4 linked regions of the Drosophila melanogaster genome follow. The gene in region 3 interacts genetically with the main gene of each other region. Each region holds a gene or a part of one and is shown on either strand. Other genes may lie near its edges. The genes, in order: PGRP-LF, Tl, Rel and PGRP-LE.

Region 1 (4,019 bases), on a different chromosome or scaffold from region 3:
CGCCTATATCGGATCGTTTAAGACCATCCAGCCGTCGGCCAAGCAACTAAGTGTTACTCGTCTTTTGCTGGAGCGTGGCGTAAAGCTGGGCAAGATTGCACCAAGCTACCGATTTACGGCGAGCAGTAAATTGATGCCAAGTGTAACCGATTTTAAGGCGGATGCGCTCTACGCAAGCTTCGCCAACTGGACTCATTGGTCGTGAATAGGTTAAGAGCTATTTCGATATTTTGCAATACTATCATTTATTTTCGTATTGATTTTGTATCATAGGTGTTCTCCCATTAATGTGTGGCATATTCGATTTAGCTAGAGTAACGATTCGTTTAAAAAGAAAATGTGATATTAAATAAAACAAAATGATTTACTTGATGAATTTCAATCATGTATGGGGATCAAGAACTAGCTGATAACTGGAATCGGGGAATTTCTGTAGAGGTGCTGTCTGGAACTGCCTGAAACCGGAAAAGTTGTAATATGGCTTGGCTTTTCTACGCATTCTTCCACCTGCGAGTTATGGGGCTTCCCCGATTATTGGAATTTTTAATTTCTTTCGCGACTATCTTAAAATTATTATATTATTATATTATAATTATTATTTTATACGGAGGTTAGTTTGCCTGGAGGTTGTTTTATCCGGACGTTAGTTTGCCTGCGGTTGTTTTATCCGGAGGTTTATTTATCCGGGAATCATTTTATCCGTTTTTATCCGGAGGTTAGGTTGCCTGGGGTTGTTTTATCCAGAGGTTAGTTTGCCAGGGGCTTAGCTTTCCTGGGCGTTACTTTATCGGGGGTTATTTTATCCGGAGGCTCGTTTGTTAGGGGGTTTGACTGGGGGAGTGTATTACCTGGAGGTTCATTTAACCCGAGGTTAGTTTGGCTTGGGGTTATTTCATCTGAAGGTTAGATCGTCTAGTGGTTATTATAGCAGGAGGTAAGTTTGCCTGGGGGTTTTTGTGGCTGGGTTTTGTTTTACCAGACATTTACTATCCGGAGGTTAGTTGGTCTGGAGTTCAGTTTGGCTGGGATATCTTATATCTGGCAAATATTTTATCCGGAGGTTGTATAGGCTCCATTTTACCTAAGTTTTAGTTTGTCTGTTAAAGAAATGTTTGCTAAATTCGCTTTCTTTTTCTACTTATCACGATCTATCTGCGTTCTATTTATGACAAAATAAAAACAGAATAATAATCGTGAAGAACTCTTTTTGGGTCAGTTGATCAAATCGCAGCCGCTAACTGTAGTCGGTCACTCATTCCAAGAAACCGGAAAACATCATAACTTCGGTCCAAAGATGAGCTAGCTTCTTTCAAAAACGCTAAGAGTAAGTATACGCCCCCTTGACAAAATGGGATTCCCATTTCTTGGACTGCTCACTACCATCAAATATCTCTTTCTAATCTCAAGTGGGCGGCGTTCAGAGATCGCGCACCCTGTTGCAAAAATGGCACCCTATATTAAGCTTTAAAAAGCTTTCTTTAGTTATACATACATATATTTATTTATAGGTATGAATATCTCTTATCAACAAGCTTATGAACTGCGCAGTCGCTTTAGGTTTTCAAATGTCCGGGGATTTTTCGGAGCCGTCAACAGAAATAAACAACAACCGGACTTGAGATCGGGTGCGTACTCACTTCAGTTGGCATCGGACGTTCGTCGTGCGAGGATCGATCGCGGTTGTGGGTAGTGCGATATAGTGAAAACATCTCAAGATGCCGAAAACAGTGGTAGTTACTCACCCAGGAAAACCGATAAATAACGAGAAAAGATTTCGCTTCGAGCTTCTCTATTTCTGTGTGATTCTTCTAATGGTTGTGGGTTTAGCAGCTGGCTATTTCATGTGGATGATGTGTGAGTCATTAAAGCGAATCGTAGATTGAATACAATTTAATAACCAATAACCAATTGTTAACCTGGTTTAGCCTTCTCCACACATTCGCCGAACAAGGGCCTACACATACTCGATCGCAGCGAATGGCTGGGGGAACCACCCAGTGGGAAGTACCCGCACCTTAAGCTTCCCGTCTCCAATATTATCATTCATCACACGGCAACCGAAGGATGCGAACAAGAGGTAAGTCTTACTTTGGGAATTTTAAATTGTTAATATCAAAGTGATATAGAATTGCTTTAAAGCTAACTTGAAACCAGTTTGTTTTACTTAGCTTACTGCGGCAATTACTTAGGATTCATGAAAAGGCTTTATTGTAACCAGTTGTTCTTTTCTTATCTACAAAAATTTATATAAATAATCAACCCAAAACTTTTCCTAGAAAGCCTCGTAAAACCGATATTATAATTCAATAGCTTGCCATAAAAAAAAACCCCCGCTTTGAGTCTATAGATCGACATACTTTTCGGTAAAAAACCCCCATTCTTCAGCACTATTTCGAGTTAATTAAACTTTTCTAAAAGTTAGCGGTTAAAAGACTGTTTACTTATGCATAAATCTTATTTCTATCTCGCCCAGGATGTTTGCATATACCGCATGAAGACCATTCAGGCGTTCCATATGAAATCTTTTGGTTGGGTCGACATTGGCTATAACTTTTTGGTGGGCGGCGATGGTCAAATATACGTAGGACGCGGCTGGCACATCCAGGGTCAGCATGTGAATGGATATGGTGCCATCTCCGTTAGCATAGCCTTTATCGGAACTTTTGTGAATATGGAGCCACCAGCTCGACAAATCGAAGCAGCCAAGCGACTGATGGACGAGGGCGTACGTCTCCATAGATTGCAACCGGATTATCATATATATGCCCATCGACAATTAAGCCCCACCGAAAGTCCTGGCCAGAAGCTTTTCGAGCTGATGCAAAATTGGCCCCGATTCACGCAGGATCCAACATCATGTAATGCAGTTGAAAGAAAAAAATACGAGAATATATTTATTTTCAAAATTTATTTTCAGTGCGACTCCTAAGCAATGAGACTGTAAAGATCGTTACCCGACCCTATTGGTTGGCCCAGCCACCTATAGTGCCACTTACTCCTTTGAAGCTGCCAATTGAGAGCGTGAGATTTGTGGCAACCAACACGCCATCATGTTTCACTCAAGCCGAGTGCACTTTTCGAGTGCGCCTTCTGCAAAATTGGCACATCGAGAGCAATGGATATAAGGATATTAACTATAATTTCGTTGCGGCTGGGGACGAAAACATCTACGAGGCCAGAGGTTGGGATCACAGCTGTGAACCTCCAAAAGATGCAGATGAACTAGTCGTGGCCTTTATTGGTCCATCGAGTAGCAATAAAAAGATAGCATTAGAACTAATCAAACAGGGCATAAAACTTGGTCATATAAGCAAGAACTATAGTCTAATTGACGATTTAGAAAAGTCATAGAAAACTGAAAGCAAGGGGAATGAAACTTGGCTAGTGCCATTCCTGTGCCATTTTTCAAAGTGATATTAATTTAAGACCTAATGTTAAGCATCACAAATATCTCACATCCAATAGGTGACAATCTCCTTCGTATTTATAGAAATAAACATGCCTTTATTGAGTTTCAACAGCTGCTATCTTTTATATCTCATTTGAACGACTACAACTAACATTTTTGAAAACATATTGCAATTCGATTTTGATTAAAAACCCTGACTGATTTCTACTTAACGATATATACAGATGACACACTTTGTGCTTACAACAATTGGCTAAATGAAATTCGTTATTGGAAATTTGAAACGCGAACATGGCTACTACATAAAACTTAGACAATTAGACTACAGTTAGTGAGACGATATCCAATTGTACAGGATTTGATTTAGTGGTCCAAGATGCGCATATTGCCAGATACAATCTTGTTCTCCAGAATGGCTCCAGCTGGGATATCGATACGATCGCCATGGTTAGCAATGATGATCACAGTGCCCTGCAGAATCAAGTTAAGACATGTTATTAGCGTATTTAAAATACCATTCAATATTATTCAAACTTACGCGCAAAGAAACGCCACGACCGAAAGTCACATCTCCGCTCACGGTCAAGTGATCCAGCTCAATGATGTCCGG
Region 2 (8,538 bases), about 18 Mb from region 3:
TCCGCGACTGATTGCTATATAATTCCAACTGTCCCCACCAATTGCAGTTTGGACGTGGACGTGGATACGGATTGTGTGTGTGTGTGTGTGTGTGTGTGTGTCTGCGTGGCGGGCGTCTCATTAGGAATGCAAATGTTAGTCCTTGTCCGCCCTTAATGTGCTATTAAATTTTCAAGCGATATGCCATTGATGTAAATTCGAGGGGCTGGCTCCTGACATTTTCGGTTATTGGGGATCATGTCAAGGCAAAATATGTGTGTGTTCAAACATTTTCCCAGGCCGAATGGCCGGATATCAATCATTAACGTTGACAGGAGTCGCAGCAGAAGTCCCTTTAATTGCAGACCATTCACGCAAAGTGTTGAGTGTTGGCCCTTGGGAGTGGCGTTATCATGGCATCTTGGCCATCTAAGTACATTTTCGACTTATCGGTGACTTTAATCTTGAGACGTTTACAAGGGTACTACCAAGGGTGCTCGGCGAGGCATGATGACTCGATCGCCTTTTACTGGCACCTACGAAAACGTGTCTTCCTGTTCTTATTGTTGCGTGGGCATTTCTTATCAGTGAATGCCCATCAAAGGAAAAGCGTAGGTTTTTCCATTTTCCCAATCCATTATCTTTCACTTTGGGTTCGTGTTCCATTCTTAAAGCTAAATCAAGCGTTGGACATTCACCATTTGAGGTATTTTATAATATCTGGCCCAAATTGTTGCTGACTTACTGTTGTTCGGCTTGCCTTTCCCCGCTTTTCTGAGCATTAAAATTAGCTTAAATTTTAATTATAGCCAAGTGCCCATTTGGGCTCGCTGGCCCACTAATGAAGTTCAAATATTCGTAGCATTTTTAATTTTTTTCGGGCCAAACTCCAGATCAAAACCTGAGCCAGAACATTTTATGCTAATGACAAATGCTTTTATCTCGACCAGAACAAAGCGGGCCAAAAAGAAAAGGAGGATGAAAAACGGAAAATTATAAGCAGAAATTGTTGGCAACCTGCTGCTGATGCTGATGCTTATGCCGCTGCTGTTGCTTTTCCTTTTCCAGCTGGGTGGCAGGAGTTTTCCCGACTTTCCACCCCACACTGACCCTAATCATTATGCCGGACTGACCCGCCAAGTTGGTGAAAAGCTGCAGATCGGGGACCGTGAAAATTACACCGCCTTTCCCCTGCCGCCGCAATGAGGTTACAAATATTACATGCCAGGTGGGTGGGTGTTTTGGGTGACTAAATTTATGCATTTTTTTCTATGCGGCTTTAATTAAATTTCTCTTTTTCGGTATGTTTATTTTTTTGGAATTTTTCCCTCCCGTTTTCTGTGGCCGCTAATTTCTACGTTTAGGCGCGTCTAATGTTTCCCCTGCTGTGGTCGTGTTTCTTTATTCAAATGAGAAAATATGTGGCTGTGTCACAGGTGAGGAGTAAGGCCTAATTGGCCCTGCCACACGGGGTTTATTATATCAACATTTACTCGGCTTCATTTGCTATGTCTCATTCTCGTTCTCATATTCTGGCGCCATCTGTTTGATTATGGAAATCGATTAGCCAAGTCCATCTAATGAACTAGACCAGAGCACAGGACACGGATCAGAAAACATGTCGCGACCGAAAACTTCATGAGGGAAAACTCCTGCACGCAGGTAGGGCCAAAAAAAAAAAAAAATAGTAAGAACATAAAGGGAACTGGGACGGGGACAAACAATGGAGAGATAACCCAAAGATAGACAGAAAGTGGAAAATTAATGAGATTTTTCGTTTGTGCAGCTGATGAAGGCATTAGGGTGAAAGCAAGTGCAACGACTTCATTTCCCTCCACCGAGAGAATGTCGCAGTGGGGAACTTATGGTTATTCCTCCCTTCACGATTTTATGGTCAGCTGAAGCAATAAAATTGAAATTAATTAATTGAATGCAAGGCAATAAGCCCTGTGACTGGTCAGGCAGTTCTATCTCAGTTCAATCTGATTGGAGAGTAAAAAACCTCACACGTTGAAATCACACGAAAAGAAATGAGTTGTTAAAAAAAAACAGGTGATAACAATACGGTAAGTATGATATTACGCTATATAATATAAACTTGTACTATATTAAAACGTGTTTATATTAGTCATTATAGTCATCATATAAGAATGTAGTATGTAATTACATATCACTTTAATAACAGATCTTATAGATACAATCTTCAGATCTTCAGTCTTGTTTTTTTTTTGCGTGTATTTGTCTCCCATTTACGTCACGGATCTGGTTTGACTTTGGGTTAAACCGCCCGCTGATCTGAGATCGGGAGAGTAAGACATATGGTGGTTCGATCGTAACGCTCTTTTCAGCTTAGGAGGCTGACTCATCACGCTGAGCGGACCACAAGTCATAGAAACGCTGAAAGCCGACGTGCTAATTATCAACACAAGTCGCCAATAACTAAGAGTGAAATAGCAGAAAGCTAAAAAACACTTGGCAGATGTAAAAACCAAAGCGGAGTCAGCTTTGAATATTGTTTTTCTGCCTTTTCGCTTATCAACCGAGTGGACAAACGCCCTCAATAATGAGAGGGGGAAAAATAAAGCTAACAACTAAAAAAGCGAGTACAATGAATCTTAAATGAGTCTCTCATTGTGCAGAAATATTTATAACAAACGTGTTTGTATGACAATTCATTTTGGGCAACTTTTACCGCCTGCAGTTGGACTAGTGGCGGTTTGGCCATAACAATAACGGAGCCACAATTACAGCTACTTTCTAACGTGGCCAAGACGAAAGACCCAAGCGGAGCATCTTGAACGTTTGCAGTTTGCCGTTTTCCACTTCATTTTTTTCGTTCACTTCTTTTTTTTTTGGCAGAAGTTAAGTAGACTGTTAAATGACTTCCGCAGTTTTACCTTCACAGACGAAGACTAGCATTTTTTTTTTTCAGTTTGCCGCCATTGTTATAGCCGCTTTGAAAGCTTCTTTGCCTTTGATGTGGGCCAAAGAAGAAAAATCTTAACCTAAATCCAGAGTACAGTTATTCGGAAAACCCTCAGGCGAAAGAAGCTCAATGGCAGGATGTTAACTATCGGAAAAAAATACAATCAAAATTTATATATATTGTATAATTATTGTTAAAACAGCATTGTTCTTGAATTCAAGACCTGCTGCTTCTGAGCGATAATCGTTGAACTTTTGGGGTTGAATCTTGGGGTTTTCCGAATTTTTCATATAAATGTAGCTAGTGGTCAAGGGCTATCAACTAAGAAGAGATTTATGGTGTTGGAAAACCCAAGAAGAATCGAAATGAATTAAAAACAAAAGTCTAAGTTTATCATAAGGTCATACGATTTTTACCATAATTGGTACAAGCGAGAAGATTCTTGTCCCTTCCTTCTTCTCTTATTTTGTTTTGCTGTTTCTAATCAGCAACTTATTAGCTTTTAAAGCACAAGTGGGCATTTTCTGGTTTGTTAGAAGTACTTTTGAAACCTGCATTACCCAGGTATTTCCACCTTCAATACGAATAAAAGTCCCCGCAATGAAAACCTGTTGAACGAAGCTCTCTTTGGTAGTAAATAAACTTTTGTTGTGTCTGTTTGTTTTTTCGATTCCAAACTGGTTTTTGGCCAAAAATTCAAAGTGTTAATATGCTGGCTCGTGAGCTTTGGGCCAAATGCGTGTGGCTTTGTTTTCTTTTTTGTTTCGTTCATGGGTTGGCCAAAACGCAAAGCACACCCCAAGGCCGAAGAGCACTTGCTGCTGCACTGCAGCATTTTGCACATTTCCCTGGAAAGTGCCGAGAAAAACCACGGAAATTGTGGACAACAAGAGTGTGACACACACAAGCACTGGGGAAAATTGTGCAACGGTTACAACTGCTGAAACTGTTATTCATCGCCAATTTGCACAGGAAAAAATACGGTTTTACGCAGAGTACTAGTAGTAGTAGTAGTAGTAGTAGTAGTATTAATAGATCAATTTAAAGATGTTTACAAATATTTTACAGCTCATTTTATGTACTTTAAATTGATTTTATCTGACTGTGATCAAAACTGGAACAAAATGTCAACCAATTGCCCGATGAGCCATCAATTTGGTAAATTTTTTTCTGTGCAATTATAGGCGAATTGGACTGATCAGAGAGTGGGACAGAGATAGCTGAGCTTAGCGCGAGCCAAGCGAAGCTTAGCACAAAGCAAAATCGAATGGGAGATAACGAGACAGAGCGAGATGGCACGGTTCAAAGTGTAATAACTGAACAAGGAGACGTAAATACTTACCGTTTTAATACGTGTTTTATTAAATGTGAGGTTAGCTACTCCGCTGCGATCTCTTGTGCAAATATTAATATTTATTTGGCTTTTCTTAAGCTGCCACGAACAAACACGCACTGGCACTGTTGTTTAGCTTCTCTGTTCGCGCTTGTTCGCACTTTGAAGCCGCGATTTTTTGCGATTTTATTTTTGGTTAAATGCTTGCTACACTTTCACACATTTGCATTTAATTGCGCCTTGTGTTTCTTGTTTTTATGGATTTTGTGCTGCGTAGCGTTGCTCTTAACTTGGCTTATTCGGTTGCCAAATCGCTGGCCACAAAACGAGACAAACAAAAGCGGCCCACAACACACGAACGCGGGACTCTGGCTGGGAAAATCAAAAATCCAACTGCTACAAGCGCGACAAGCGTGCGTTCACGTCGGCGATTCGGAACAAACTGAACTCGACTCGAAAAGAAAGAAGAACTGAGAGATGAAGAGCTGGTAGTGCGCTTAGTGTGGAGGGAAAGACGAGAGAGTGGCTGAGTCGGCGGCAAGATACCCTTTGCTCAATATAGAAAACATTATTTACTTAAATTTGTAATCAGCCTATTAATATATTTTATTTTAAATTTTAATAATTTTGTCACAGTCTTTATATGTTTTATATCATTTTGTTTGCTTTTGGTTCCTTAAGCTCCAGTTTGTTAAGACATTTTAAATTATTATTATATTTTTTATATTCTACTTTTAATAACATCCTATCTTGCTACTTTTTTAACCTTAAATAACGTGTGAAGTTATTTCTATAAAGCTGTTTGGGTTTTATATATAATCAGCTTATTATAAATAAATATGAGTTGGATAAAAATGCTAGTCTCGAAATTTTTTTATATTTTTGACGTACTGATAAGAATTTTTAGAACAACAGTTCTTGTAGCAATAACACAATGTGATAATATGAGGAATCGAGCTTTCAGTTGATTTATGTTAGTTGACTAGGATTTTTATAAAAAATAAAATTCTTTCCCTAACTTCTGAGTGGCAAACGATATAATAAGTCGAGCAATTTCTTCTACCCCACAAATACCGTTCGAAGGTACAGATGCGTGGGAGAAAAAGAGAGAGACACACGAATTATCTTCGTGTCTGTGGTCGTTGCACTATAAACAAATCGCATGCGATAAAAGTCATGCGAGAGAGGAAAACAGTTGAAATACAGGTACTTCGTATAAGAGTATAAGAGAAAGTGGTAGAGCAAGAGAGCCTTCTACTGTTTTGTTTTCATTTTTGGGGGAAAAGCCGGCAGTTGTTGTTGGCCAGTAGTTCTCAGTTCTTGTTAGCCAAGTTTAACCGGTTAACTTCAAAGTCTAAGCATCTCAGGCAGCATACGTAATAACAGTGATTATGGATTTATTAGTTGATTAGTCTCTCTCTCTGAGTAAAATGTAAAATGTAATTGCCAGCACGTAGCAGACTGCTTGCTGTTGTTGTTGTGTGCCAATTAAAACCACACTTCCACAACATCTACCCTCTCGCTCTGCCGCTTGCGACTCAAATGAAGTGGAAGTGCGTTCTGCTAATGCGGAACAAGGATGGGACATAGCTCCCGGGGGAGCAGCGTGTGAAGTGCGACAGGGACGGGGAATGGGAAATGCAAATGGAAATCGTATCCCTCTGCAACTGTGTTTTCTGTAATTATGCACGGCGTATGGAAAATTAGGACATGCTTATGAATAATCTTTGAATTCATGTACAATTTTCATAGCAATCTTGTGTTGATTCCATTTCCCAATTGGTAATTATCTAAAGTCTTTGAAATTTAAATAAATTTGTTGAAATATTACAACAACAATTTTAATGTTTACTACTAGGCTTACACCACAATTTTCAAGGATTTAAGATGTTTTCTTTCCAAGCAAATAACTTTACGTCAAATCAAACAAAGCAACGCAAATCTGGATAAGCTTAATAGGCAACATAATGGCTACTTCTCCCCGCAAAGATGCATTAATATACACATTTGCCACACTGCCCGTGTTTTTCATTTCAAATACCTAGGATTTACTGTAAATTTCAAAGATATTACCGAAATATGCGCATGTAATTCTGACCGAAAGGAAATTCCAGTAATTTCCCATTCAATGTACCCACATGGGAAAACCCAGCGCACAGGACACACATCGGGAGATTTATTCCTCATTTGCCTTGTTTTATGTTAGCTGCAAAATTTCACTTTGAATTGTGCCGAAAATTTAATTTGATTTCATTTTCATCAGTGGAGAAGCACATAAATAGTGCAACAAATGAAATTTGTACGTGCCACAGATGCTGGAGGAACCAAAGGCAGGCCCACATGTGTTTCAGGTCCAGATTTGTGACCATTTGTGCGTGGTTGGCCACGACACGCAGAGCCATAAATTTCGGATTCTCAATAAACTAATGGCAATTGGTATCCGAAAGATACATTCTATATACATATACCCCAACATCCATATATATATCTCTTCACACACACGTACAAACTCATTCTGGCCCGTCTGCGTTATTAGTTTTTCTTTTCCTTTCGCTCGTCGCTCTTTTCAATCCGTGTGACACTTTTATCACACACGTTCGACTCATCAAAAAGTTAACGACGATAATGACAAACATTTCAAAAGCAAACACTCTGCGGCATGCAACCAGATCCATTTTCCCCAGCCGGGAGATAAATATCTAGCATATAATGCCCGGCCTTGTTGTTGTTGCGGGGCAAACACCTTAATTAACTTTTTTCATGAACATCTTGGCTTGGAACTCGGCTCCCCCTCCTCTTGCCCCTCGAATCGGTCTAACTTGGCTTATTTATTGGGGTTATTTGCTCAACGAGTGGTGGTCTTGTGTGTGTGTGTGTGTGTGTGAGACGTCCTTTCATACACAAGAACACACACTTGCTATCGCATGGGTAACTACCTGCTCATTTTCACCTGAGTACGTGTTAATTTTGTATATTTATCTTTCTGTTTCCCGAGCTGCCCGATCTGAGCGCTGCCAAATAGAAAGATTGTATAAATTTCATCGTAAGCGGGAATGACAGCGGCACCCAAAACAAGGGCAGTCCGAATTCCAATTAACAGCTGGCAGCTTCTTCTTTGGCCCAAAAGCCGAAATAGTAAAACGCAAAGACATAACCCGGCAGAAACAACAGTTTCAGCTCCAGCAATGGAATTGTATCTGACACGTTCAACTTTGACGTTGACTTTGGCTTTTCCTCAGTACTGCGCCCGAGTTTTCCCCCCTTCACTCCTCCTGACAACGTGGGAAATGCAAATGGCAAGACGGCGAAGTTACCAAGTTTTGGACAAACACTCATGCACATGCCGAGAGGAACAAACAAAGGCTTGGAGCAAACCCATAAGGGAAAAAACACTGCCAGAAAGCGGTTATCTTATAGATACAGATCTTGTAGATATCTTATAGATACATATATGCGTAACATTTACCTATCTTTTAGAATCATATATAAATACTCGTATATAGACCATGTAATGTTCTTCATATAAGATCAAATAATTGTATCTATCTAGCTGCTACTATCCTAAAAATGCATAAATTAAATTTTCCCAGTGAATATTTAGTTTCCACTTGTATCCGCACTGTCTACTTTGCTTTGAACTCGCTTTGTTTCATTTTCAGCCCCACCCCCACCCACTTTGGGCCTGCCCTTTCCCTTTTCCGTTTTCCCATTTCGGCGTTATTGTTATTTCATATTTTGTCTTTTTGCTTTTTGTTTATCCCATGGCTGTCAGCTTCCTTCGATATTTGATATGATTTTGTGTGAGTTTCGTTTGGTTCGTCGGCTACCGTTGGCCGCGTCGAATGGTTTTTGTTTTCCTTGAGGAGGCGTTGAAATATGCATATGAGCCGCATTTCCGAGTCTCAAGTGGCAGCGATGCATTTGCTGCAGCGGCACATGCGCAACATATGTGAATGTTGCATTAGCAGTTCGCAGTTGCAGTTGCAGTTGTACTCTTAATTTGCAAATGCAGCTTGGCCGGAAGTTGGCGCATCTCTGAGCCGCTTGAGCAGATTCCAGATGCCACATTCCCCCACCAGATATGTACATTTGCAAATGTAAAAATAGTTTTGCACCAGCAGATGCAAATTATGGGATAAATGAAGCGCGCTGCCGAGGGTTCCAGTTCCTGGAGATCTGCAAAACTGGTTGCAAGTGGACGTGATATCATTGCAACTAGTTATTATTATTAGCTAGGCGGCAGGGCTTATCGCATTACTGGTTTCTGGTATCGAAATCAAATATTTCGAACTGGTTTAGG
Region 3 (9,494 bases):
TATGTTACAGTGTGCGCCCAACTTCCGTAGGAAAGACACCAAGCCGAATCTGGGGCATTTGGCCAGTTCCAGTGCGAGTTTCCGATTAGAGCCCGACCAGGATTATCTCGCTTTTGGCAACAGCATTATAAGTCGCAGGCCTGCGATCGTGCAAATAGGCCCAAATACGCAGTTAGTAGTTAAGATAAAGTTTTTCGTTCAAATTGTACAATGTAAACTACAAAACACAAACATCTGAGAGCAAGTATCCTTTGTATTTTTAGTGATAATAAACAGTTAAAAGCCATTCTGTTTCGGTTATTCAAACAGAAGGTAACATAATTGGAATTTATTTGGCTGTCATCAAGTATATTTTCTCAATTATTTAACCTTTTCAAAGATCATATATTGGAACTTTTTCATACCTCCCATCGTTAAAGTCATAAATCAAACGAAATAGTAGTATTTCATTATTTCTGTTTATATAGCAAAATATGTGGGTTTATGTCATGTTAGCTTGTGGTCAGTAACTTTACTATCTAATATAGGTTTAGGGGATTAAATAAAAATACTATTTCTCGGCCAGCGAAGCACGATAGTTACTGGTGAATCTTCAGGAGGACTTGCGATCATCGAACTGCTTCCTGGCTGCCTTCAGCGTGTTGTGCATCAGCATGGCCACCGTCATGGGACCAACTCCGCCGGGCACAGGAGTGATGTGGCCGGCGACCTGGCGAACTTCTGCAAAGTGATGAGGAAATGAATCAATCTTGTTGGTCTTTAGTGATTTAATAGATCAGCCACACACCTTCAAAGTCCACGTCTCCGACCAGCTTAAACTGGCCAGTGCTCTCATCCTTGATGCGGTTGATGCCCACGTCGATGACACAGGCTCCGGGCTTAACCATGTCCTTGGTGATCAAACCCGGCTTTCCCACTGCGACCACAATGATATCCGCTTGGCGGCAATGGCGAGCCAGTTCCTTGGGCGGTGTATACCTGTGGCAGATGGTCACCGTGGCATCCATTGCCTTGGTGGCATACTTGCCATCCGCGTGCAGCAAGATTGCCATCGGTAGACTGACATTCTTGGAGCGTCCCACCACAACGGCGTTACGACCGAGAGTTTCGATTTTCATATGCTCCAACAGTCGCTTGACTCCCAGCGGCGTGGCCGGAATATTGGCCTCCATGTCCAGAGCCGTGCGTCCGATGTTGACCTCATTGAAGCCATCCACATCCTTGTCCACATCGACGGCATTGCAGATGGTGCGCTCATTGATGTGCTCGGGTACCGGCAGCTGCACCAGTATCCCCGTGACCTGGGGATCCTTGTTCAGATCGGCAATCAGTTGCAGCAGCTCCTCCTGCGTGGTAGAGGCGGGCAATCTCTTGGTCTCACTGGAGATGCCCACCTCCCGGCAGGCGACCATCTTGTTAGCCACATACTTCTCGCTAGCCGGATCCTCGCCCACAATGACGGCCGTGAGATGGGGCTTCGGATAGCCAGCAGCCTCCATTCCCTTGAGCTCGTGTGCTAGTTGGGTGCGCACCTCCTGGGCTATGGCCTTGCCATCGATAATTTGAGCCATGTTGCTGGAATGCGATCATAATATTATTTAATTGAATGAGATTACACTGTACTATTCCTTAAAACATTATTTAGTTGCGATATTCTTGAAAAAATATAGCAGGAAAGGTCATAAACCGGGAATGATAAGGGCTGTCGGTAAATCCCCGCCTGTCACTGCAGTTACGCAACAGTAATTCCCCCACAACACACACTTAGGCGCATAAGTACATGTATGATTCACCCACTTGTTTACCAAGCGGCGTGCGCGAGCGGCAATGAAAAATTAGTGATTCCCCATTCTTAGAATGTACTTTTTAATGCCGAGCTATCGATGGATCCCCTTTTGCTAGTGATCTCATGCAGGGCGCCGATGGTAATTGTTTGAGGGAACAAGTTTAGATTGCTTATAGAACTATTCTAAAGAATAGATTCCATGGAATAATAAAGGAAACTAAATAAATGCTAATAAAGGAAAATAAATTAATGCTCTGATATTTAAAAATAAAGCTTGCTATCCCAGGCATCCTAGTTTCGCGTATTTTTCATTCCACAAGAGAATAGTATTTGTAAAACTAAGGTACTTTATTGATCAACATTCAATACATAATCAAGTTGGGTTAACCAGTAGGGCGTAAGCCTGTGGATCCACTGCCTGCAGGGCACGAGCAAATGTGGAAAACTCTACAGAGGCTCCTTTTCTTTTCACGTGATCCAACAGATCCTCCGCGCCCAGCCATATAAAGGCGAACTGCTTCAGATGCGTCTGGCGGGCTAGTTGCATCCATTTCCGATCTTGGGGATCGGACCCATGTCCCAAAGGCTGATTCAGCAGCGAACAGAGCCGGTCGTAAATGAATTTGTTTTTGAGCAGCAACTGCAATTTGTTGTTGTCCATTTCGGTGTCTCTACTGGATTCATCTTTCTGTCTTCTTGGACCACTACTTAGGTCCAACTCCACGGAATCCTCGTCCTTTGTTTCGATGTCCATCTCCTCGGACTTGATCTCCAGCTGACCAGCATCGCTACTTTCGTCCGACGATGAATCGATCTCCTCCTTGACCTTACATGGAATCCAGGTCATGGCCAGTTCTCCCTTCTCCGGATACACATTCTTCAGCAGCTGGACCACCCGGTCATTTGCCTTGCGTTCGGCCAATTCCAAGGGAGTATGGCCGGCTGCATTTTGTGCCTGCAGGATGTCGGTAAGGTTTTCATTTTGGGCATCCAGAATGAGCACCAATAGCTCCACACTTTGCTCCAGAACTGCCATGTGGAGTGCATTATTACCATCCATTGTGTTGGCCACGCTAATCGAGGTCCGATCATAGCTGATCAGTTTCTTGGCCACATCGTACTTGTTCTGTCGAATGGCCATGTGCAAAGGCGTCAGACCATCGTCGTTCGTTAGCGAGAGGTCCAATTGTACGGTTGGCACTCCATTAAGGAAGCTTTCCACGCAGCTTAAGTGCTCCTCCTTGACGGCCACATGCAGTGGGGTATTTCCGGCATTATTCTTCAGATTTGGATTGCATCCCATACCCAGCAAAGGTCGTATGTAGTGCGCTCGGTCTTGCTGGCACGCCACATGCAGGGCACTATCACCGTCCGCATTCAAAGTGCTATTGACCACATCTTTCAGATTGAAGTAGTTCATCACCTGTATCGTCTGGATGGCCAGCTTCAGTTTGTCCTTTTTGTGGCTGATCACTTCGTGCAGGAGCGTGTCTCTATTGTAGTTATTCAGAGCATGCTCGATAAACCACTTCTCCACTTTGTGGTGCGAGATTTTTATTGGCGATATGCGGTCCTGTTTGTAAATTTCGAATAAGTCATCCAAGCATTTAATTGTACGATTTCGATGCGATGGCACTTCCGCCCGGTTATGACCATCGTGCTGCAACTCTCCCATGTCTAACTGGCAGATCTTCTCGAGATCAGAAGAGTTGTGCTCGATAAGTTTGCGGAAATCTTCGGAAGCAATAAATTCATTTAGATGCTTTTCGCGTCCGAACTCCTCACTTATAGTCTGATCATGCTGTGAAAGGTTTGGCAAGCCATTTGGTGGCTGCGCCAAGCCCAGCGTTTTGGGCAGATCCAGCGAGTTATTAGAGCTTTCTGTTCCCGAACTGCTGCTATTGGCAGAGGACCCGGTTCGTCGGCGTTTCCTCGACACAATTACGCTCCGTGGCTTGTAGCGGAAGGGCAGCGCCGGGAATGAGCGCTCATCGTCGGAGGGACGAATGAGCTCGATGTACACGTTGACCTCGCGGTCCACGTCCTTATCTTTGTACGGAGGCGTCTGGCACACAATGGCATATTGGTGGTGTACATCCGATTCGCGGAACTTTGCGTATGCCTCCCACACGGTTTCCCCGTCCTCATCCTCCTCGAAGAACCTCACTTTAATGTTCTTCTTGCTGACCTTTTCCACCAGTAGAATAAGCTCATCGTTGCCCATCACCCCGCCAGTGGGTTTGCTCAGGCGGACGATGCGAAGCTCTCCAGTTTGTGCCGACTTGCGGTTATTGATTGCATTGCTGTATACAGGCGGTGCAAGTGGAACCCATGCGCCGTTGTCCTCAATTTTAAAGGCCTCAAAGCAGAGCCGCACCTAAAGTTGGTGTTACTTTTTTAGTGAGTTCTTTGTTGCTTTTCAGTAAGTTAATTGCTTCGATGTTATATTGCTCAGTTATTTTAGCAGAGAAATTTATATAATTCGAGCTAAACGAGTAGATACTTTACAGACTGCTTAAATAAAAAGATTAAAAGGTAGCAAATGCAACCTATAATTAATTGACTAAAGCATTCTAAAGTGAGCAATTAAACGTGTGAATAATAAATGCAAACGTGCATATTCACCTCATCGAAGCAAGCAACTCGATATTGTTTACGCGCTGGTTTACCCACCTGGTTCAAGTTCATGTCCTTGGCCTCACGCTCTGTCTCCTGATGCAGTTCCTGTAGCTGTTTGTGGGACAACTCGCGGCGGTTCATCTGAAAGACCAGGCGATCCTGCTTCTTCTTGCACAGTTCCTCGAATATGTACTTCTTGGCGGTGTGTATGATGCCCATGTTGATAAATTGCGCCACATAGCCGCGCTCCTTGGACACGTGCAAATCATGCGGATCGCACACATCCCGATCGTCCTTGCGCACGACCAGCTGATGGGAATGTGGGCTGTCCAAGTTAGTTTGGAACAAACTGCACCGGATGACGGCGGGTCCATCGTAGTTGCACAGTGTAACCTCCGGGAAGGTTTTGGGCGTCCGCTTCGAATTGGCGCCATTTAGCGATCCATGTGTTCCATGCATCTCGCTCTTGTACCGAAAGCGGAACTTCTCCACCGGTTGCTCAACGATCCGCAGCTGCGGCACGTGTTTGATATCGCCGTCAGATGCCAGGCCATTTTGATGGTATCCAAAGTTTTGGGACGGTGGCACAGTGGCCGGAGCGGGCACAAAGTACTGGTGATCCATGTACATGTTGCCAAAACTGGTGACATTAGCAACGCCGAAACTAACGCCAGTGGAGTTTATTAAATTGGTAGCACCCAATTGGCAAATTCCGCCGTTGTTCAACAGCTGATTCTGGTATGGTGAGTTTGCCATTGGCGGCTGGTGTGGTGAATTGCCGCCGGGCAAATTAAGATTGGCGAAGTCCGTTTGCAGTTCCATGGTTTTCGGGGAGTGGGCTGGTGAAAAGGATCGGTTGGTGGAGTTGGGTGATGTACTGCTGCTATAGCCACTGGTGCTGGATGCATCGTTCATAAACATCACATTTTTCCCATTGTCCAGGTCGTAGTACTGATTCATGTTCATAGTCCGTATCAATCCAATATTTCTGATCAATAGCGTCTTAACAACTCAAAAGTGATCCGCTGCCTTCGCCGATCGGAACGCTAATGATCGAAACGAGCTCCGCCGATGGCTGACCATTCGTTTTAGGTACTTCCCCGATGTTCGGCGGATGGGAAATTATCTGCGGCGGCCACGTCGAGATGACTCACGGGTTTTTCTGGCGCACCACTCAGTGTGATTTTTTTGATCGGCTATACTATAAGCATGTACGGAATTCTGGATTCGCGGTTGTTGTTTACAGAGCGAAATCACACTGTTTATATGTATTCCACCCAACTAATACATATATGCAAATTTATGGAAAAACGACGCAGCGAATCGGGGAACTTTAGTGCGCCACTGCTGGAACGAAAATGAACGAAGCACTGCGCGAACACAAGTAGTATCGCTCACGAGTTGCGAGCAAAACGCTCGCTGCCCTGATAACAGGTTTAAGCTATTTGCGCCGAGCTTTCGGGTCAGCTTTTCACGGAAACTACGGTTCAAATTCATTTATTTGAATACCTGATTTCAACACACCGCGCACACTAAAATAAAAACAAGGCAGAGCTGCCACCGGCAGATAAAACGAGTTGGGTGGCAACGCCCCAATCAGATGTTCTACAAATCTAGGGATGGAAGCGTACGCGATTGTTTGTTCCCATTATTCTTGATTAATTTTTATAAATATAATTTAACCTATTTCGACAAAAAGATATAAAGGTATATAATACAAAATATTAATATAAATAATACAACACTTATATAAATATAAAGATATAAGGAATTTTAATACAAATTTATAATGAGAACCGGCGTAACAACTTATAACTGTGTTATAAAATAATAATAATTATGCAATGCAAGTACCGAATATTAGTATTATTAATAATATATTTTTACGCTTTCCATTGGCTTTTCCCTTAATTCACTTTCGTCACGCACTCATCTCTAGCGCACGCTTTGTTTTTCTTCGTATGATATTACGTTTTATTTCGGACCCGATTCACTTTCTTATGAGCATACACACCTGAAGTTAGACTTTCCGGCGTAATTCCGGGAAGCCAAGACCGAAATGGATCCTATAGAACGTCGCAACATGGTTGGAAAATTTAAAACACCGGAATGTTCTTTTATCCTAAGACACTTGTGCTAAATGATAAAAAAAAACTACATAAGCATGCGCCACTGAACTAATTTGCAATTCAGTCGGTTTCCACTCCCACTGGACCCGCGCACACACACACGCACACTCACGCAGAAACAGCTGATCTGTTGCCAGGCTGCACTTAGAGTATATATGTATGTATTTACGATCCCTTTGCACTTTTTGATGTGTTAATCAATCTTCTCACTTCGCCGTTCCTCTCTTACTCTTGTTACCATGCCAAGGTGTGTGGGTGTGTGTGTGTAAATGCTTTTACACCTTATCAGTTGACGATGAGTTTGTTTATATTGATAATCAATTAGCAGGAAAAACATAAACAAATCGGGGTCTTGACTTTGCAACCACTAGTCTGCGTCTAGACTAGAGTTATTAATAGGCAGGCTACAAAATTAGCTCTTTATGCGGACAAAGGAAAATTCGTTTTCTTGGCTTGATAAAAGCAAACGTGTCTTAAGAACGCCTATTCAAATTTCTTTGAAGGTCAATTATGTATTTTTTATGGATTTTTGTTAGCCAATTTTCACTAGCAGCATACCTTATTGTGACTTCTTTTGTTGGCTTTTGCGAAATTTTCCTGGTGGAAAATTCGAACTGCACTGATTGTCGGATACCGATGGACTGTATAGAACGAAACAGATCACTGAATGAGCCTCGCACGTGTTTGTATATTTTGGATAAAAGCTTTTCGGTTCAGCGCACTAAATATGCGTGTGCGAGCGAGCGCGACTTAAAAGCTTTAAACACTTGTCGATAAAAGTTTTGAACTGTGTGCATATAAATATGGCTTAAAACGGAACAAATACATATGTGCATATATGGATTTTCGATTTTGAAACAACGCGGAAAATAGCTAAACACATATTGAACATATTTTATTTTCTCAACATGAAAATTTTTAAAAGTTCGCCTTGTGTGCACAAATATTTATTTAGGAAATTCTTAAAGACGTGGAGAACAACTTTTGTTGCTTTTATTACCAGTTACATGATTACGATTTTGGTTGGGAATATTTGCTGTTCTAAAATTTCCGACACGAGTTATTTTTCAATAGTTTGTTTTTCTTCGACGCGGCGGATGACGAAATCTGATTTCCGATTACTGCACTCGGAGATTAAGTTGGATTCTGTTGGCCGGTGACGTCAATTTGCTCCACAGGGGGCCACCAACGTCTCCCACTGATAAGCCTTTGAGTTCAGCCCCCTCTGATCACCCATTACCTATTCCATAAGTTATGGAATTGATGCACAAACGCCTGGTAACTGGCGATTTTTGTTTTTAGCCAGAGGAAAAACAATGCAGGCGTCATTAACAATGTTGTTCGCGGACGATGATTGCTCCCGTTTTGGGTTGAAAAACATGTTATTTTCGAACGGAGATAACCCCCGTGGAAAGTGCGAGTGGGCTGCCCAATGGGAGTCATGCTTTAACAAGCTTGTTTAATTTACAACTGGAATATTTCGACGAGCATTTTACTTTCTCTGGTCGTTACAAATTTGTGTCCCAAGGATGCGTGATAGAAAATTATTGTGAATTTATTGTCAAAATTGTTTTAAGCTATAGAACTATTTTCGAAGTTTTCAGAAAGAAAATGTTTTGTCCTTTATTTTTCATTGTAACTCATGTTTTCAAAACAATAATTAAGAACTAAAAATGCTTGTAGGAGAAGCACATGGCATAATTAATATATAGCTATATTCGATGAATAATGGAGATGTAACAAAGTACGGATTTCAAAAACTCACCTTGTGAATCGCATTTTGAATCGAGTTCTTTTAATAACTGAAAACGTTTGATCTGTTGAATAATATCTGATGTCCTATTAGAGTTTATTGCACTAATATACTTTTAAGCTCGTTAAATATTGCAACACTTTTTGTTTAAAGTATTCTATAAAAGAACTTGGTTTCACACTTGTCGCTTTGGAATATTTAAAAGAAGCGCGTTGCAGCCCTTTTTATGGCTCTTAAAACGGGTATTTTTTAGTACCTTTCTAGTTCGAAATTTCGAAATTGGCCTTAGATTAAAATATTTCAGGGGTAGACAAATTGCAGATTTCTCAATAACCAAGAATAAAACGAAGATAATGCTGCGCACGTACAATTTTATCTGTATGAATAATCTGATACTGTTGTAAATTCAACGCTTAACGTTTGAGTGTGTCTTAGCAGTGCAAGTGTGATGCATCTTTTTTGGTTTATTTATGCCAACGCCATCTGGCCACACTGCAGTGAAAAGGAAAACAAGAAGTCGCAAATCCAATCTCCATTGCAATTTTGAACACCATTCCTTTGCATAACTATTGCCCACGCAACTGCATCTCTGATGCCCACAGACTGGCGATGAAGCCCCAGAGCAAGCGGAAATCATTCCCATTCAATGCGCCTCCTCCGGGCGGTATCATGGACTTCGGATTCGGGAGCTGCAGCACCTTCGGCAATTCGGTGGAGAATGATCTGGTAAAATGGCAGCATAAGCGAAAATCCGAGCAGCCGGCACCGGCAGTGCTGTAAGCTATATCCTCAACACAACATCCACATAAAATACTAACCACAGAACTCATTGCAGACCACCCAAAATGCTTATAACCGAGGAGAGGATCACCCAGCATTTCAGCGGTCTATCGCTGGATCCGAAGATCAATGTCGCCGCCACGGCCGTTGTTAGCAACAACAACAGCGTGGCCAGCGTTACGGGCGGACTGGCCACGGATGATATACCATCCACCAGCACCGGGAAGACCCACCACCCCAATCCCGCCTATCAAATGGCGGCCATGGAACTGGAGCAGAAACTGCGCAATGCCAATCGCATCGTAATTTGTGATGGCCTTAAGCCAGGATCGGGTCCCGGTTCCGCTCCACCTGTAATACCACCGGAGTGGCTAATCAAGTCCATACCACGTCCCTGCACCGCCTTGGTCCCTTGGCAGCCTTCGCC
Region 4 (8,543 bases), on a different chromosome or scaffold from region 3:
CATCATTGTCATCCCCATTGGATAAAAGCTAGCACGAGATTTTTTATCGCGGAAAAGCAATGTGTTGTAAGATTTCTACTCTAATATTGTTATTTGATTCGATCACATGAATGCATTAACCATCAGAAACTATAGTTTTTGGGACTCAATTTTTATTTTTTTGAATTTTTTGAATTGAATTTTTTGATTCTTGGAAACGTTCGAAACATTCGGACAGATCGAGTTGATCAGTTCACAGGATAAACTTTTTCATTTTATTAGTGTTCTATCAAAGTATTAAGTATTGCTACTTTACGTTACATATTAGGCAATCTACAATATGTATGTAAATATAATCCTACAAAATCCCATAAGGATTCAATTAAGACTTTGTTTGTTGTTTTTCCAGCGGAAAAAGCCGATTTACCACCGACGCAATCCTGTTCCAATTTAAAAAAAAAAAAAAACCTTGTTATTTTAAGTTTTTGGAGAGGAACATAAATGGGACCTTTTCAAGGCCCGAAGTCTTCAAGATTATTGCTTCTTATTTTATTGCTGAATTATCAGATTTGTTTCCTCTAACATTAATCCCTCAATTCTTTAGTCAACATTTTTTCCACTTAATAGAACATTATTTTTTGTCAGCATTCATAAATTGTCTAAATAGTTGAATATTTCGCCAGACTATAGAACTAAAATCGAATTTTATGGCTTTGACATTAAATAGACTTTCATCATTTGCTTCTAAGAAGAAAAACCCAAGAATCGCTGACAGTGCAATTAAAATTGAAGAGTATTTTAAAATTACAAATGCACAATAAATTGTAATTCATTAAAATTCATCATCGAGTTACCACTAATGAACGGGGTAAGTTGCCGTCGGTAAATTTTAAAATATTATCATCGTATCTAATCTTAGCATTTACTTACTTTTGTACAGAAACTTCGAGTAATCACAATCCATATCGCATTGGTGTAAAGCTCCAGGATTAGATGCTACTTATTGCGCGGCTGCTCCGATTGGCTAGGATATGGTCTAGATGTGCGAGGATTCCGAAAGCTGGAGAAGATCTCTATCTCGAAATGGAGAGCTGTGCGGATTGATTGGGCTATTCACAGCACCTTCTTCGGCGAACTTTTTTCGCGGACCTTGCAGGGATCGAAGAAATAAACCCAAATGCGGATGCTTATCAGTGAAAACCGATCCATTTTTTAGGATTTAACCGCACTGCACATTTTCCACCGTCGCGACTACGATGATATTTATACGAATTATACGGATTATGTTTATCTTTCGCGATTTACATGACCAATTGTGTCATGAGCCCGGCTTTTTTGTTTTAATTTGCATTTATTTACTCTTCGCTTATGTTTCGGTTTCTGTTTGTGTTTCTGTATTGTATCGCAATTGGTCGTTCATTGGCTGGCATTACTGAAACTTAAATCCACTTCCAAATAAGTGTATCGTGCGTTTTTAGTTTCCCCTGCAGGTTGAATTATTGTTCTTTTTTTTGGATTTACTTTCTGGTATTTACACAGTGGTAATGGGAGTCGAGTTTACACTTGGTCGATGTTTACCGAATCTAGTCGCTCGATTCGATTGTTCGACGGAATGGGAATTGGCCACCATATCATTGATTTAAAGGCGTTAGTTAAGGTTGTTCTGATATCAGACGGATTCCTTAATAAATGCACTGCAAAAAAAAAAGCAACGTAATTATAATCGTTAAGGAGGGGGAACAATGGCTTGGGTATTATTTGTTTATTTGTATTTATACGTATTTTTTTTTTTTTTGCTGGCCCAACTCGCTTCAGTAGTTTTCCCGAAGACGATGTGCGGGTGTTTTTTGTGATTATTAATTTATTTATTTGTTTTTTTTTTGAATGGGGTGCAACAGTTGTGCTGCAATCAGCACAAATAAATCTTTGTGGGTGATTCATAAGCTGTCAAATAAACGCATACAGCACTGCACAGCACAGCAAAAAAAATGTTGGAAAAAAAATAAAAATAAAAACACGATGTAGAACAAAATATTGGTATTGGGCAGAATGGCCGAAAAGCGCTCCGAATTACCTGCGCATTAACAATAACGGCGCGAATCGGATAGGGATACTATCCAATCCAACACTATCCAATCCCAATCCACTCCACGCTCTCTATATGTAAACTTAGCACACACGAACGCAAATTTACACTGGCATACATGAAATGCAATTATTATTATTATTATTATTATTATTATTTTTTTGTTTCCACGGTCTGTTTCAGATCCGGTTGCAGCTTATGCGAAGCTAATTAAACTAAAACTATAACTACAACTTTGTTTACACAACACACCGCTGGCCGAATGCAACGTCGAATTGTGCTAAAGCGAACCCATTATTTAAGATTTCATTAAATCCGCGACGTTTTTTCCTCCAGGGCACATCATCTGATGTTGATGGTTTTTCTCAAACTTTGCGCTTATTTTTACCGGCACACGGCGCAATCTGTTTGGCTTTGGACTGGGTACGAACTTGTACTTGTACGGTACACCGATAGAACAACATATCCGACGGATAGCGACGAACAAACGGAACGGGATGGGTTTGGCGGATGGCGGATGGTGGATGCGGATGTGGATGGAAATTCGGTACGAGAAGAAAAAACCGCAATTCGATTATATCTTATGGCTGGCGTTTGTTTTAATTTTAACTAATGTTAACTAGCTCTCGCAATCGAAATAACACAGACAGACGCAAGCGATGGCATAAACAGAACTACCAATAAGAAATTATCTCAAAATGTATTTCAGGCAAAAAGTAAAACAGTAAAAGCTCTTCTCATTGAGCATTCGCATTCGCACTCGGCTGCTTCCATCGAAAAATTTTTCGAAACTGAAAGCAGAAATATATTTTTCTGGCCATTCCAATTCGACTCGAAACTCTCTCGCTCTCTTCCTCGCTCTCTTTGTGCGCGGTTCCAATCGGAACCAATTGTGGAACCTAAGAGAGCGTTAATTCTAAGATTTTACATAAAGAGAATCCGTTTTTCTCTTTCATTTTCATACATTTTTATGTTTTCTCTTCCCCTAAATTATGTTAAAAGCTTTAATACCAAAGCTTCACTTTATTTGACAGCTGATTCAGCTGAAGGTGATTGCCGCCCTTTTTTGAACTCCACTAAAAAATGCCTATTTTGGTATATTTGATTAGGTTATCTGTTGATTACAATATATTTAAGCTGTTTGTCCAATTAGCGAAGATATTTAAAAAGTTTATTTCACTTTTTGATATGCTTTTAATTTAACTTTTAAATTAGACTGTGTTCCTGTTCGGAATACGGTCACACCGGAACAAAAACATAAACAGACCTTTGAATGCATTCCACTGTGCAGTCAAAAGTAATAAATATAAGCTCCTCAGTTTTATACGTCAAACTATCGCTTAAGCAATGTATAAAATTAGTTTATAAGTTGGTTACATTTTAGTTTATTCTCTTTTAATGGCTCTAAGTGACTATTAAATCCGTGTTGTGGTAGCTCTTTGGTTGGCTTGAATAGCCAGCAGTAACTAAATATAAAAATAAAGAAAGTAATTGAGAGACTTGGAGGGAAGAACAGCGCATACGCGAGAGTGGTCGAGTGAATGTTTACAGCGCATGAATTAGGTTTTGGTGGTTTATCTGAGTACCTCTAGCCCCATGACTAATGCTTAAAGATGGGCTGACTTGGGTGTAATCACCTGCCTCTACAGGTTTATTATCAAACACGGTGCAGTGTTGCAGTTAACTGCTTAGCATTAAAGCCCAATATAGGCAAGAGTGTTGGAAAGCTCATCTTTTCCAGCACTGGGTGCATTGTACCTCCAGTCGATTTGATTGGTGAACCAAACTGGTTATATTTTAGCCAGTGATAAGGGGTTTTCGGATCTGGACAAAGCATTTGTATGTTTATATATTTATATATATTATATTTATTTATTTATATATATTTATTTACTTATTTATTTATTTATATATATTTATATATTTTCATAGAACAATATATATATGTATACAGAAATATATGTCCAAAACGGTTAAAGAGGGATAATTTAAACTATTTTTTTTTGTTCGTATTTAAATTTTTGTAAGCTTTATATGGTTAATCAAATACTTATCGAAATCTGAAACTCAACTAGTGGATGCGGCCCACTGTATGTACGATACCGCTAAGCTCCCTTCAAAGGCAGTGGAATTGTTCTAAATGCGAACATCGATAATACTTATCGATATCTAGACTGATCCTCGATATCCATGACAATAATTAATACACATGACTAAATATGCAAAAAAAAAGCCCCAAGTGGACTGATATGCAAAAAAGCATTTCACCACGGCACCTGCGCATATAATGGTGGATAGCCTGTGGAACGTCCTTATCTTATCGTGTAAGGTGGACACGACACGAACACTAATCAGAGAATAGAGCAGTTCTAACTCACAATATTGATAAACAAAGTAAGGGCCAGCCGAGAGATACACGCGCATTTATTGGCAGCAAACAGAAGCCAAAACTACGGACATGTCCGAATCGGGAATCAAAAAGTTGAGCCAGGAGCGGACTCGCGAATGGTTGGCTAGTCAGGAGGACGAGGAACTGGAGTCCATTGCAGAGTCCTCGGTTGTGGACAGCTTGGACTACGATTATACCGAGGAAGAGGAGGATGCCGACCAAAATACCAGTGAAGAAATCAGCACTATGACACTAGGCACTCAAATCGGTGCGTAGTACTCAAGATCAAGTTTCTATATTCAATTTATAACACTTTCAATATATCCCCACCTTAAAGCTACCAAAAAGCATTCGATCATCAGCGACACCATAAGGGACCTTATGAACTCGATCAACAGCATTCAGACTTTGGGCAACGTTAATATAAGCAACTCCACGAACGTCCATATCGGCAATGTTACCAATATTAATGGAAATATACAAATCATAGCCGATGGCCTTACTCAAAACCGAAGAGATCGGCGGCATGTTTCACCACCGAGAGATAACGCTCCCAAAACTCCGACACATTTCGAAGACGACTATCAGGACGAGTCGGAGGAGAGGGTGCGCTCGGATGTGTTCATCAGGCGCCAGAGTAAGCTATCATTCACCAGGGGATGCATACACGTTAACCATAGGATACCGATTTCACTTACAGAATTCAAAATACCCAAGGAGCTGTCCGCCATCATTCCGCGCTCTTCGTGGCTAGCACAGAAGCCCATGGACGAGCCACTGCCCTTGCAACTGCCTGTTAAATATGTGGTTATCTGTGAGTATTCAAGTTTGCTGCACGTTTTAACCATTTTTTTGCCAACTGATTATAAATCAAGTTGTCTGTAAAAGTATGACGCAATAATTAAAACAATTTATACTATTTGATCTGACCATCATGCTTAGCACTCACTAACCTAAGATTATATCGTATTATAACTCTTTTCGAATATATTTAAAACCTTGATTAACAAATATTGTTTTACCACGCAGTACACACAGCTACAGAGAGTTCAGAAAAGCGGGCGATCAACGTAAGACTTATCCGTGACATGCAGGTAAGTATTTCGTTAGCGAAATTAAATCATATATGCTCCGAACTATATAATAATTATGTATATATATTTCAGTGCTTCCACATTGAGTCGCGGGGATGGAATGACATTGCGTACAACTTCCTGGTCGGCTGCGATGGCAACATCTACGAGGGACGCGGATGGAAAACGGTGGGCGCCCACACTCTGGGTTACAACAGGATCTCGCTGGGGATCAGTTTCATTGGATGCTTCATGAAAGAACTCCCGACGGCAGACGCCTTGAATATGTGCCGCAATCTGTTGGCCCGCGGCGTTGAGGATGGTCACATATCCACCGACTATAGATTAATTTGTCACTGCCAGTGCAATTCGACGGAGAGTCCTGGTCGGCGATTGTACGAGGAGATACAGACATGGCCCCACTTTTACAATATCGAGGAGGAGGAACAATGAGGGACAAAAGAAGAGCACCATTTCACATACTTAGACTTAAATGCACCCGAGTTACGTTTATAATGTTGAACATTAAATCACCTGTTTATAAATTTTCCAGCTACTGGCAGTTTCGTTAAGTTACTTTATATTTTGGTATAGTTTTTGCAGCGCTGAAAGGTGGAAAAACCACAAGATGTTTCGGAACCAACATCGCCTACCTGTTTTAATTCACAACTGAAAGAGAAGCAACAATTATACTGCACAAATATGAGCGAGCTAGCACCACATAAATACAGACAATAGTAATGCATTTGCTGAAAACAATCTATAATTAAACAAAAATTTGCGTACAGTCAAGTAAACAATTAACAATTAGAAGTGATTTTCTTTAAGCTTTGGCGGAGCCGAATACTTTTCCTTAACGTGAGCACGGTACTCCTCGTCATCATCGTGGCACTCCTTATAGCATAGAGTGCAAAAGAGTTCCCCACCACATCCGTGGCATCGGAAGTCGGCGTCTTCGTTACAAATATTGCACCAGGGCAATTCTTCGGTGTTGCCGGGCGACTCAGTGTTAATTGGACTAATTTCACTCTCGGAAGGTTCTGGTAAGCGCGATTCTGCTACATACTGAATGGGAATACGAAAGTGATGATTTGGCTTAAAAAAAATAATGCTACTATATAAATGCGAACCTTTTTCAATATGTTCTGTAGAAGTGTCTCGTCATCCTCTTCGTTGTCCGCGATACTTTCCATCTGGGATCTCGATGGGCATGCATCGGAATCGACGGGTGTATCGCGCAGAGCTCGCAGACGTCTCTCAATGTCGGAAATTGAGTCATCCCTCTGCCTGCTGATATTTTGATCCAGTTGGGCTTCGTCAACGAATTGTGCGAGCAAGTCCCTCATTTTCTCCTGATCGTTTCTTTGGTCGGTGGACAGTAGCAGATCTTTCTTATCGTAGCTTTTCGTATGCGGCATCCCAGTGAGATTGGCCAGACGGGTGCGGATCTCATCATCGGTGGCATCAACTCGTTTATAGTCCTGCATTCGTTTGGTCAACTCACTGTCCAGGTTCTCATCAATATGATCCTTGTGATCTTTGGAATGTGGTGACGAACTGGAACTGGGAACCAATGCCTGTGGCAGCTCCTCCACAGGCAGGCTGTCGCTGCAATTAATCGAATTATAGTTTCAGAATCGGTGTTTTAATGTGGTATTTTACTTACTTGAATAGGGCATCGGCGCCATCTGAACTTTTGGATGGAGGAGCCAGGTTCATTTTGGTGACTAAGATCCCCGGCAAAGCATCACAGTCTATAACTTTCTCGGCATCGGCGCTCGCCTGGAGTTTGGATAGTTTGTCGTAGCATATGAGGCACACATTGTGCACCTTTCCTGCATGACGGGGCACGGGCATTGGTCTCTTCAAGCACTTGGAGCAGAATGAGTAGCCGCAGTTGGGGCATCCATACTAAAATTTCGGATTTAACACAATGTAAGTAGGTGATATATGTTGGTTTGCTTTGGTTTGATGGCACTTGCCTCCTTGCAGAATAGGCCATATTTGCGACCGCAGCCAAAGCAGCTCATTGCAACCAGAGTCACCAATGGAACATATAAATTGAAAAAGTTTCAAATTTCGTTTGCTTTGTTTTGAAAGAAGCCAGTTCTAATTAGGGATGGTGTACAGTGTACAGTGGGTGAGCTATCGATTACGACTTAAACGCATTAGCGTTCTAAAAATCAGCTGTTCCTTGTTTTGGTTTAGTCTAATATCAATATTATTAAATTCTTGAGCTTTGTTGTGACCAGATCGTTAGGAACTAGAGATAGTCGAGTGAGTCCTGGTATCGATTGTCCATGGCACACAACAGCTGTTAATGAATAGTATTTAGTCTTGTAAATGTATTTAGTAGTTTATTTTGTTTACAAATCAATCGAGGACTGATCACTGATCACTTTTCAAATGATTCATTGAGATCCGAGATTTTTCACCTAACTCGATAGTTATCTAACGCGAGCGTGGACTTTGGTCCGGTGGAGACGGGCTGTTATACAGGCAGCTATTTACCGATAGGGTAAAGGTCTATCGGCCTCGGTCAGGTATCGTCAGTGCAATTGTTTTGAGGTGCTAAGACGTCAATTGATTGACTTGTCCACACAATCAATTTAGCAACATTCTCTGATTCGGTTTAACAATACTTAGCACGGCAAGTAGAAGCAAACAGTGAGCGAAAACAAACAATAAAATGAGGGCAAACAAGTCAGGTTTTGCAAACAATACACTTACAATGTAAGTAATTTTGAGAAGTTATACTATTTGCTGTGCCACAGGAAGTTATATATAGTTTAATTAAGTTATAATGCGTTTAAACGCAATCCCTGGAACTCGATGTATATGAGCATATAATTCCCCTTGACTCCAATAGGAAGTGCTCCATGAAAACATTATGTGACATCTATACGTACTGTATAAATAAGCATATAATCGGTTCCAATGTACATATGTAACAGGTAGATGGAAACCTTCTAGCCCTATATACACGCGAGTGTTTGAGTGTGTAGATGTGTACATA

Evidence for each region.
Region 1: of Rel (region 3) and PGRP-LF, changing one suppresses a phenotype caused by changing the other (phenotypic suppression), as found in Drosophila melanogaster (one study listed by BioGRID).
Region 2: of Rel (region 3) and Tl, changing one enhances a phenotype caused by changing the other (phenotypic enhancement), as found in Drosophila melanogaster (one study listed by BioGRID).
Region 4: of Rel (region 3) and PGRP-LE, changing one suppresses a phenotype caused by changing the other (phenotypic suppression), as found in Drosophila melanogaster (one study listed by BioGRID).

The regions. Positions count from the first base shown.
Region 1 is NT_037436.4:9,347,971-9,351,989, forward strand, and holds PGRP-LF (peptidoglycan recognition protein LF), read left to right. Parts: upstream 1-1,638; 5' UTR 1,639-1,715; coding exon 1,716-1,854; intron 1,855-1,925; coding exon 1,926-2,077; intron 2,078-2,473; coding exon 2,474-2,858; intron 2,859-2,896; exon of another isoform or gene 2,897-2,917; coding exon 2,918-3,351; 3' UTR 3,352-3,519; downstream 3,520-4,019. Other genes in the region: PGRP-LC (peptidoglycan recognition protein LC), read left to right, coding at 1-205; UGP (UDP-glucose pyrophosphorylase), read right to left, coding at 3,773-3,880, 3,948-4,019.
Region 2 is NT_033777.3:26,795,190-26,803,727, reverse strand, and holds the start of Tl (toll), read right to left. Parts: upstream 4,688-8,538; 5' UTR 4,248-4,687; intron 1-4,247. UniProt on the Drosophila melanogaster protein: Receptor for the cleaved activated form of spz, spaetzle C-106. Binding to spaetzle C-106 activates the Toll signaling pathway and induces expression of the antifungal peptide drosomycin.
Region 3 is NT_033777.3:9,042,065-9,051,558, forward strand, and holds Rel (relish), read right to left. Parts: upstream 5,914-9,494; 5' UTR 5,372-5,913; coding exon 4,460-5,371; intron 4,164-4,459; coding exon 2,160-4,163; 3' UTR 2,119-2,159; downstream 1-2,118. Other genes in the region: Nmdmc (NAD-dependent methylenetetrahydrofolate dehydrogenase), read right to left, coding at 593-720, 788-1,575, 8,300-8,313; Mst85C, read left to right, coding at 8,897-9,063, 9,123-9,494. UniProt on the Drosophila melanogaster protein: Transcription factor that plays a key role in the humoral immune response as part of the peptidoglycan recognition protein (IMD) signaling pathway.
Region 4 is NC_004354.4:15,798,688-15,807,230, reverse strand, and holds PGRP-LE (peptidoglycan recognition protein LE), read left to right. Parts: upstream 1-3,350; 5' UTR 3,351-3,904; intron 3,905-4,140; 5' UTR 4,141-4,523; coding exon 4,524-4,722; intron 4,723-4,791; coding exon 4,792-5,091; intron 5,092-5,154; coding exon 5,155-5,268; intron 5,269-5,483; coding exon 5,484-5,548; intron 5,549-5,620; coding exon 5,621-5,980; 3' UTR 5,981-6,078; downstream 6,079-8,543. Other genes in the region: CG15602 (uncharacterized protein), read right to left, coding at 6,335-6,592, 6,658-7,135, 7,194-7,438, 7,510-7,557. UniProt on the Drosophila melanogaster protein: Peptidoglycan-recognition protein that plays a key role in innate immunity by binding to murein peptidoglycans (PGN) of Gram-negative bacteria and activating the imd/Relish pathway. Has no activity against on Gram-positive bacteria.